2 linked regions of the Rattus norvegicus genome follow. The protein of the gene in region 1 interacts with the protein of each later gene in a pairwise test. Links are inferred from orthologs where the notes say so. Each region holds a gene or a part of one and is shown on either strand. Other genes may lie near its edges.

What was found.
Region 2: the proteins of Junb (region 1) and Batf interact in binary tests that used the Homo sapiens proteins (3 or more experiments, as listed by UniProt). The link is inferred for Rattus norvegicus from reciprocal best matches to the Homo sapiens genes JUNB and BATF.

The regions. Positions count from the first base shown.
Region 1 is NC_086037.1:40,079,856-40,083,500, reverse strand, and holds Junb (transcription factor JunB), read right to left. Parts: upstream 2,376-3,645; 5' UTR 2,106-2,375; coding exon 1,071-2,105; 3' UTR 591-1,070; downstream 1-590. UniProt on the Homo sapiens protein: Transcription factor involved in regulating gene activity following the primary growth factor response. Binds to the DNA sequence 5'-TGA[GC]TCA-3'.
Region 2 is NC_086024.1:111,083,252-111,087,565, reverse strand, and holds the start of Batf (basic leucine zipper transcriptional factor ATF-like), read right to left. Parts: upstream 2,850-4,314; 5' UTR 2,615-2,849; coding exon 2,552-2,614; intron 308-2,551; coding exon 203-307; intron 1-202. UniProt on the Homo sapiens protein: AP-1 family transcription factor that controls the differentiation of lineage-specific cells in the immune system: specifically mediates the differentiation of T-helper 17 cells (Th17), follicular T-helper cells (TfH), CD8(+) dendritic cells and class-switch recombination (CSR) in B-cells.

The sequences.
Region 1 (3,645 bases):
TACAGGGAGGCTGCAGTTACTCTCCGCCAGGGTCGGTCCAATGGAGGGGGCGTGGGCGCGGCGGGGCTCAGGCGCCAGCCTGTTAAAAGCCGCTCGGGTGGCTCCCAGGGCTCCGGAGAGCACAGCCCTCCCACCGCGGGCGCCCTGGACCCCGGCCTGGGGCTTTCCGCGCCCAGAAAGCCGCCTGCCCGGGAAAATCCCGGCCCCCTTCCCGGCGCCGCGGCCCTGCCCGGCAGAGAAGGGGGAGGGGATTCCCGGAATCTGCCCGGAGACCGCGCTGGCGTCACTGAGCTGAATAGGCCCATATATGGGCAGCGCTTCCGTAACGTCAGCGGGGAAAGCCCCGGCGCACGGGGCTGGGCGGGGCCGTGCTTGCACATTCCGGGTTTTGTCCTGGGCCTGGATAGCTTGTTCTCGGCCACTGCCTGCCTGCGCAGCGTCTGGTGCCAGGACTCAGGGGATGGGAGGTTTGAGCGCTTGTACTGGACCTTAAGATACCCGAAAGGAGAGAACTACAAACTGCCCCGGGCTTGGGGCAGCCCAATCTTCTCCCTCCATCCGCCCAGCTTGGAAGAAAGAGACCACAGAAATTAATAAAGACTTTTTTTTTACTTAAATAGATTCAATAAAAAGTCAAACACACACACAAACACATCTTAAAATAGACTTTAGACACGAAGTGCGTGTTTCTTCTCCACAGTACTGTGCAGAGGGGGAGGGCAGGGGGCGGAGGTTCCTCCCTAGTATCCCCACAGGCTGAGTACCAGGCGGCGGGGCCAGCTCCGCCGCGACAACCCCCTTCTCCCCTCCCTGTTAAATACACAAATATATTATATTCAATATGAATTCAGTCTCTTTCCAGAAAAAAAAAACATACAAAATACGCTGGAAGGGGGCCATGTAAACCTCGAGGTGGAAGGACTGGGCGCAGGCGGGCAGGCCAGAGTCCAGTGTGTGAGCTGCGCCCCAGACCTCTGGGCGAGTGCCCATCGCCTGCCCCCCTCACCCCAGTGGGGGGCGGGCGCCCAGCCTTCAAGGCTGGGGGTGTCCGTATGGAGCAAGGGAGGCTCTCAGAAGGCGTGTCCCTTGACCCCTAGCAGCAACTGGCAGCCGTTGCTGACGTGGGTCATGACCTTCTGCTTGAGCTGCGCCACTTGCTCCCGTAGGAGGCCGGCAGTACTTGACAGCCCCGCGTTCTCAGCCTTGAGTGTCTTCACCTTGTCCTCCAGGCGCGCGATGCGCTCCAGCTTCCGCTTCCGGCATTTGGTGGCCGCCAGCCTGTTCCGCAGCCGCTTTCGCTCCACTTTGATGCGCTCCTGGTCTTCCATGTTGATGGGGGACACAGGCGGCGTGGCGTCGCGGCTGCGTGCCTCCGGTACGGTCTGCGGTTCCTCTTTAAAGGCGGAAGCGCCGCGACTCAAGCCCAGCTGCGCCGGGTGGCCGCCCGCAAAGGGTGGTGCATGTGGGAGGTAGCTGATGGTGGCCGTCGGGTATGAGCTCCCAGTCCCGACGGCGGTCCCGGAACCTCCAGAGGGTGCAGAGGCTGGGGAGTAACTGCTGAGGTTGGTGTAGACCGGAGGCGGCTCCGGACCAGCATAGACGCCCCCAGGCCCGGCCTGGGGACCCCCGCTGGCGCCCAGAGACACGTTGGGGGGCGTCACGTGGTTCATCTTGTGCAGGTCGTCCAGGGCTTTGACAAAACCGTCCGCAAAGCCCTCCTGCTCCTCGGTGACGCCGCCCCCTGTACCTCCGCCGCTGCCGCCCCCACGGGGGTAAAAGTACTGTCCCGGAGGCGTGGGCGTCGTCGTGATCACGCCGTTGCTGTTGGGGACGATCAAGCGCTCCAGTTCCGTGGAGGCTAGCTTCAGAGATGCGCCTGTGTCTGATCCCTGACCCGAAAAGTAGCTGCCTGCCCCACTGCCCTCTGGGCCTGGACCCCGCGCCCCAGGACCCTTGAGACCCCGATAAGGATCTGCCAGGTTGAGCGCTAAGGTGGGTTTCAGGAGTTTGTAGTCGTGAAGAGAAAGACTGCCAGGGCTCCGACCGTATCCTGCCGCTGCGTATGAGTCGTCGTGATAGAAAGGCTGTTCCATTTTCGTGCACATCCGGGCGGCCTGGGCGATCTGGGAAAGGTCCCCCTGAAGGGCCGCTCCGGGCCTCGCTGCGGCGACCGGCGAGCTGTCCTCGGCTGTGGCGGGACCCGGCGTCCGGTCGCGCGTCCTCGGGAGCTGGAGACGGTCGGCAGCGGCCAGTTGGTAGCTGTGCGTAAAAGCGCTGCCCGGCTTCTGGAGCTTTTCTCTCCCTCCGTGGTGCGCCCGCTTTCTCAGCGTCTCTTCTCTCAGCTCCCCGCTCCCTGCAGGATCCAAAGCTGGCCTGGCCACCCTCAAGGTCCCCAGTGTTCGGCCCCAGCCCCAAGCTTTTATACTGAATTTGTCAGCTGCGGAAGTGCACTCCGATTGGCCGACGCGGGAGCCAGGCCCCCGCGGCCCCCTCCTAGAGCGTGGGGAAGGGGAGGAGGCGGCTCGCGTCACTGTCAGGAAGCGCGTGTCCTTGTAAACAGCGGCCACGAGCCCGGTGGCTCTGCGCGGCTGCAGGGGGAGGGGCTGTAGAGACAGAGACACTCAAGCAAAGGGATGTTGAGGGACCGAGGCACATAGGAGTTAGGACTGCGGGAGTACAACCCGGTGGCTATGAGATCTCTGTACACTGCAAGTGGAGATGGGGTGCCTCAGGATATACCCGGAATAGTCTCGCGGGACCCACAATAGCTGTGACTTGTGAACTGACAATATACTAGAAGACCCCAGAAAACAGGGAAGGTACAAAACGGGAGCAATTGTTAACATTTGACCTAGGAATTAACTAGAGGCCCCGAGTGCAAAGTGCTTAAAGAACAGGTGGGAGAGAAGGTTCAGGAAGCAGGGTCAGGTACCTATTGTATAAGAAATGAGTAGGGGCTCTAAAGCCCACAGATGAGTCTGAGGGTTCTCCCATAAGTGGAAAAGGGGAGTAATTTTGGGGAGGTCAATTTAGATATGCAGAAAGTGAACAAGGGTCCTGGAAACGCTGAGGCAATAGGAGTAGAAGATGGGAACATATCTAGCAAAGATTGGGGTCACTGTGATTATTTGCAGAACTCTGATGGAAAGTTAAAATGGTCAGGACATGGCTTCCTTCTGAGCTGTAAAGGCGATGCCAGGAGGGTATCTGAGATCTACCCGAGAGGACGACTTGGAGGATCCCAGAGACAAGGGGCTTGTAAGAATGAGACTGTACCTCGTAAGTGGTCTCTAGGCACTGACATACCCTGTACCTGAGTCCAAAGCCTCCCCTTAGTCACTCTGGGCTCGCCCGATATCCTGTCAGCTTTTGGAGGGCCGAAGAGGCGGGATAGCTGGGGTGCGGTCGCCCAACCCCACTCCCTTCCTTAGAAACAGGCTAGGGAAAAAGAGCCGAGGCAGGAAGTGTGGCAATAGCCCGGAGGGGGAAAGAGCCCGGCCCTGTCTCGTCATTCTGAGCCTAAGGGTTGGTGCACCCTAGCCTGGGCCTGCCAAATTCTGCGCCTGGGAAGAGGAACCCCAGCGAGCGACCCCTGGGGAAGTCACAATCCAGCTGAGTACGCCTCTAGTCATAGTCTACTCTCCC
Region 2 (4,314 bases), on another chromosome or scaffold:
AGATTCAGCCTCCAGCACTGTTCTCTGTTACTGAACGTATGCATGGGAGAGGGAAGCCTTTCCCCACACCCGACCCCATGCAGCCCTTGCCCTCTTTACTCTCCCCACGACAGCAGACTCATCAAAGCTGGGCCCCACGGCCCTGCCGGTGAGGGAAACAGAACCTAAGGGTAGGAGTGTGGTAGGAAGTGTGGGTACTCACCAGGTGAAGGGTGTCGGCCTTCTGTGTCTGTCTCTGTCGGCTCTTCTGGGCAGCAATGCGGTTCTTCTCTCTCCTCTGAACTTTCCTCACATCATCGGATGAGTCCTAGGAAGCAGAGGTAACAAGGGTAGGTCCGATCATTCCTCTTCTAGTCAAAACTCCTTCCTTCCTTCCTTCCTTCCTTCCTTCCTTCCTTCCTTCCTTCCTGCCTGCCTGCCTGCCTGCCTGCCTGCCTGCCTGCCTTCCTAGTCCTCAGTTCTTTCTGTACCATCCAAAGACATTTTCTTCAGCTTTCCCTGCTACCCGCCCTTGGGTCTCCCGTGGCCTTCTTTTGACCAAAAGCTACTGGAAGGTGAAGAGAAACTGAGGCCTCAGAAGTGCTGCTTTGGGGAACACCAGTTAAGACAACAAGGTCTACCCCAATCACTTCTACTCTCTCCAGACCTGCTTTAGCCTTACTCTGTGTGTGTGGGGGGGGGGTGTGAGTGTGTGTACATGTGTGTATATGTGTGTGCATGTGAGGTGTGTGTGTGTGTGTATATGCACACATGTGTGCATGCACTAGGATCTTCTTGATGTTCCTTTTGCTATTTTCTTTGGAAACTTTGCTGAGCATCTGCCATGTGCCGACTTCTGTACGGGCGCTTTCAGAGGCACTGCGATACAATCCCCCAGCTCCCTGAGCGGCTGCCATCTTTTCTGTTTTACACAGAACAGACTGAGCTCATGCCATCCAGGGGTATGACATGTTCTGGTGCTGTTTCTAAATCCCATCTGAGAATTCCCTCCTGACTATTAATTTCACTGTGATACACCCTTAGGCAGAAGGCACCTCTCTTTCTTTTATTCATTCGTTCCTTGTACAACCATCTTGAGATCTCCCTAGTTCTTAACATGATGCTTACTACAAATGAGGTACCAAAAAATCAATTTATGAAGTGCAGGTCACCTGCTTTTTGGGCCACCAATAGGTGCCTTGGAGGACACAATACTCTTTGGGTGCTCTCTAAGTATATCCTTTGAAGATGAGGGAAGAGAAGCCCTTCTGCATCCCCTACCCTGTCACCTCCACTGGTCTGAGAGGCAAAGATCCTTGGGTCAGGCTCTGACTGCCTTCCCTCTTTACTCAAACTTTCCAGGTCATTCTAGCAGGCCGACATTGAGTTAGAGAGAGCAAGGATGCACTCTTTCTATATAATTCGCCAAGGGACTAGGTTACCATGGCAGCTGTAAGTAATTTCCTTCTTAAGAAGACTAGGGTACCATCTTCCAGGCAGCCTGGGTTGCCCTGATACTACTGTGAGCGAGAGACTGACTGTCTCCTTCTTGAGGTCTTCACCAGTATGGCTTTTGGTGAGGGGCTTGTGACAGATGTGAAAGCAGGTGGTCAGATAGTATATACAGTTATTTTATTTGTAGCATTCTGCAGCTCCCTGGATGTGTGTAAGGCTAGCACTCTACCTCCGAGCTATAGCCCCTCCCGATATGTGTGCTAAAGAAAGAATGTAGTTTTTAAGCTGAGGTGTAAAACAAAGTTTAATCCATGGGTCTAGGCTGGATGAAGAGGAGAAATTTCTAGGGCAAGAAGTATCAAGAATGTGGAAGAGAGACCCAGAAAGTGCAAGGTGGGACGGGCATCCCAACAGAGGCATCTCTCAAACTGAGACTTGGTATCAATCAAGAGTGTAAGAGTCTCAGAATCTTTCCCTCCATCCCCGGATTTTCAGTAACCGATATGAGCTACTGGTGAAGGTCTCCAGCGCGTCTTCTGGTCCATGGGCTTCTTTCTTCTATCTGGAAGCCACAGGGGGAAACAGATACAAGTTGTAGCTTTAGCCTCCCTCCCCACTGGCTGCTCTAGTTACAGAGGCAGTCTGCGGGCAGATCTTGCCGCTCTTTTCCTGTCTTCCTCGCTTTGGTTTACTCTATTCTTTCTTCCTGACTTCGGTCCTGTCTTGCCGCTTGGCTCTTTCTGGAAAGTTCTAGGATTTGGGTGGAGCTCACGGCAGCGATCTACTGGAACATCCCTCTGCTTACGGTTGACCATACTTCTAGGCTCTGTGATAGTCACCCTGCCCCCAGCTTCCTAGAAAGTTTCAAGGTGGGAACCTAAGTGGCAGAGATGAGGGGTACCGCTTGGAAAGGGGGACTTTTGTGGCAGGATGCGAAGGCTTCACCACTTGAACCTCTGTATAGCAAACACCACAAGTCCAGAGTCCGCTAGAAAGCTCTTGCCACGAGCTACTTCCTTCCCCGGCCAGAGCTCCCTGAGCTGAGAGTAGACTGCCCCTTTTCTACCACCCCGGGAAAATCAGAAGACAGCGCATGGGGGACGTGGGGGAGTAATACCTGCTTGCCGGGGGGAGGAGAGCGGCTGAAGCTGGAGTCGCTGCTGTCGGAGCTGTGAGGCATGGTTGTAATCTTCCGGACTCTCCCACACTGTCCCAGATGCCTCTGGGCGATCTTCTCACTAGCAAGCTCCCCTTCTTGACTGCCAGGGGGCCAGCAGCGTACCACCTTCCACAGGTGCCTCCCCTGCTCGTCCTGCAGCTATCTCCGATAGACCCCTGCGTCCTCCTCTCTCTGGGGTGCAGAGGGACTGCTCCCCACAGGGACATCTCGCTCACTTTGGGGCTTGCGCACAGGCCCTCTCTTGTGGTTTCTGGTAATTCAAGCTGGAAGTCACATGGGCGGAAACGTCAACAAGTAAGAAGGTAGCTAGAAAATACACATCTGGGAAAAGACCATAGAAGTAGGTGAAAGAAAAAAAAAGATACACAAACCCCCAGTATCTTCCGGCAGTTTGAGAGCAGAGCTAGTGCTCTTCATTCGATGAAGGTAAAGGAGGAAAAACAGCCAGTTAGGGAAAATCCCCAGCCAGAATTAGCAAGTTCTCTGCTGTCAACATGGCAGAGAGCGGCAGGAAAGAGCCTCCAGGTCACAGGCCTTGATTTTAAAACTTAAATAACAGTAAGGAGCCTGGGAACCGTTTCTGGGTTTCACCCGAAGCCGCTGCCCACCCTGATTTAGGCTGACTTTCCTCATTCACCTACAGGACTGTGCGGTGGTCTGGGGACAAAAGCAAGGAGGGCACTCCCTTTTACAGCCGGCCAAACAGATAGTTGGAGCTACTGAGTCTCGAATGGACGCTAGAGAAGTTTACTATTTATCCCCCGTCTACTTAGCAGGACACTCCCATTCTCTCTAGAGAAAAGATACCTTCTGTGGAGAGGCTCTTTCAAGAGTTCAAGGTTGACCTTGAGTATTCAGGAGTCAATGAGGTCAGAACCCAACGAGGAGAAAATGTCAAAATGAGTGACGGAGGCTCTGGACTTGGAGTGAGATCGGCCATGATGAGAGCCCACCCGACCCCTATTCCTACTTCCCACCCTCACCCATACCCCACACCTGCCTACTATCTCTCAGTTACTGCAACGAGAGGGTGACAATTGGAATAGCAATGTCCCCCACCCTGTGAAGCATGCTGCCTGTGGAGATGGTCGTGCTTGCCATGTGTCCCATGACAGGAACATGCTTGTGATTTTAGTGAACAATCCTATTTTCATCTGGGTCTTTTGGCTAATTAAAAAAAAAAAGTCTGGGCCCTGGAAAGATGTTCAGCAGTTAGTAGTGCTGGCTGCTCCTTCAGAGGATATCGGTTCTGTCCCCAGCATCCACACAGTGGCTCACAACCATCTGTCTCTCCAGTTCCAGGGGACCCTTCTCCCTCTTCCTGCCTCCTCAGGTACCAGGCACACATTCGATGTGCAGGCCAAACACTCACACATATTAAGATAAAAGCTCTCACTACATTCTCAGTATGGCTCAAATGTTCCTTGTTTAACCTGAGGACTGACAATATGTTATAGCTCCTAAAGCATTTTATTATCCACTAATTAAAGTTTTAGTATCCACTGACTGAAATTCCGCCTGACAGCAATATGGTTCTAAGGACAAACTTAGCAAAATAAAAAACTTCAACCCCTGTGGAATTTGTAGTTAGTGGTGAGAGCAGACGGTAAACAACTGAGCTGACATAATACATCAGGGGGTGACAATTGTCACAGATAAAAAATAGAGCAGGGTAGGAGAGTTCTGAGGATGGTCACTTC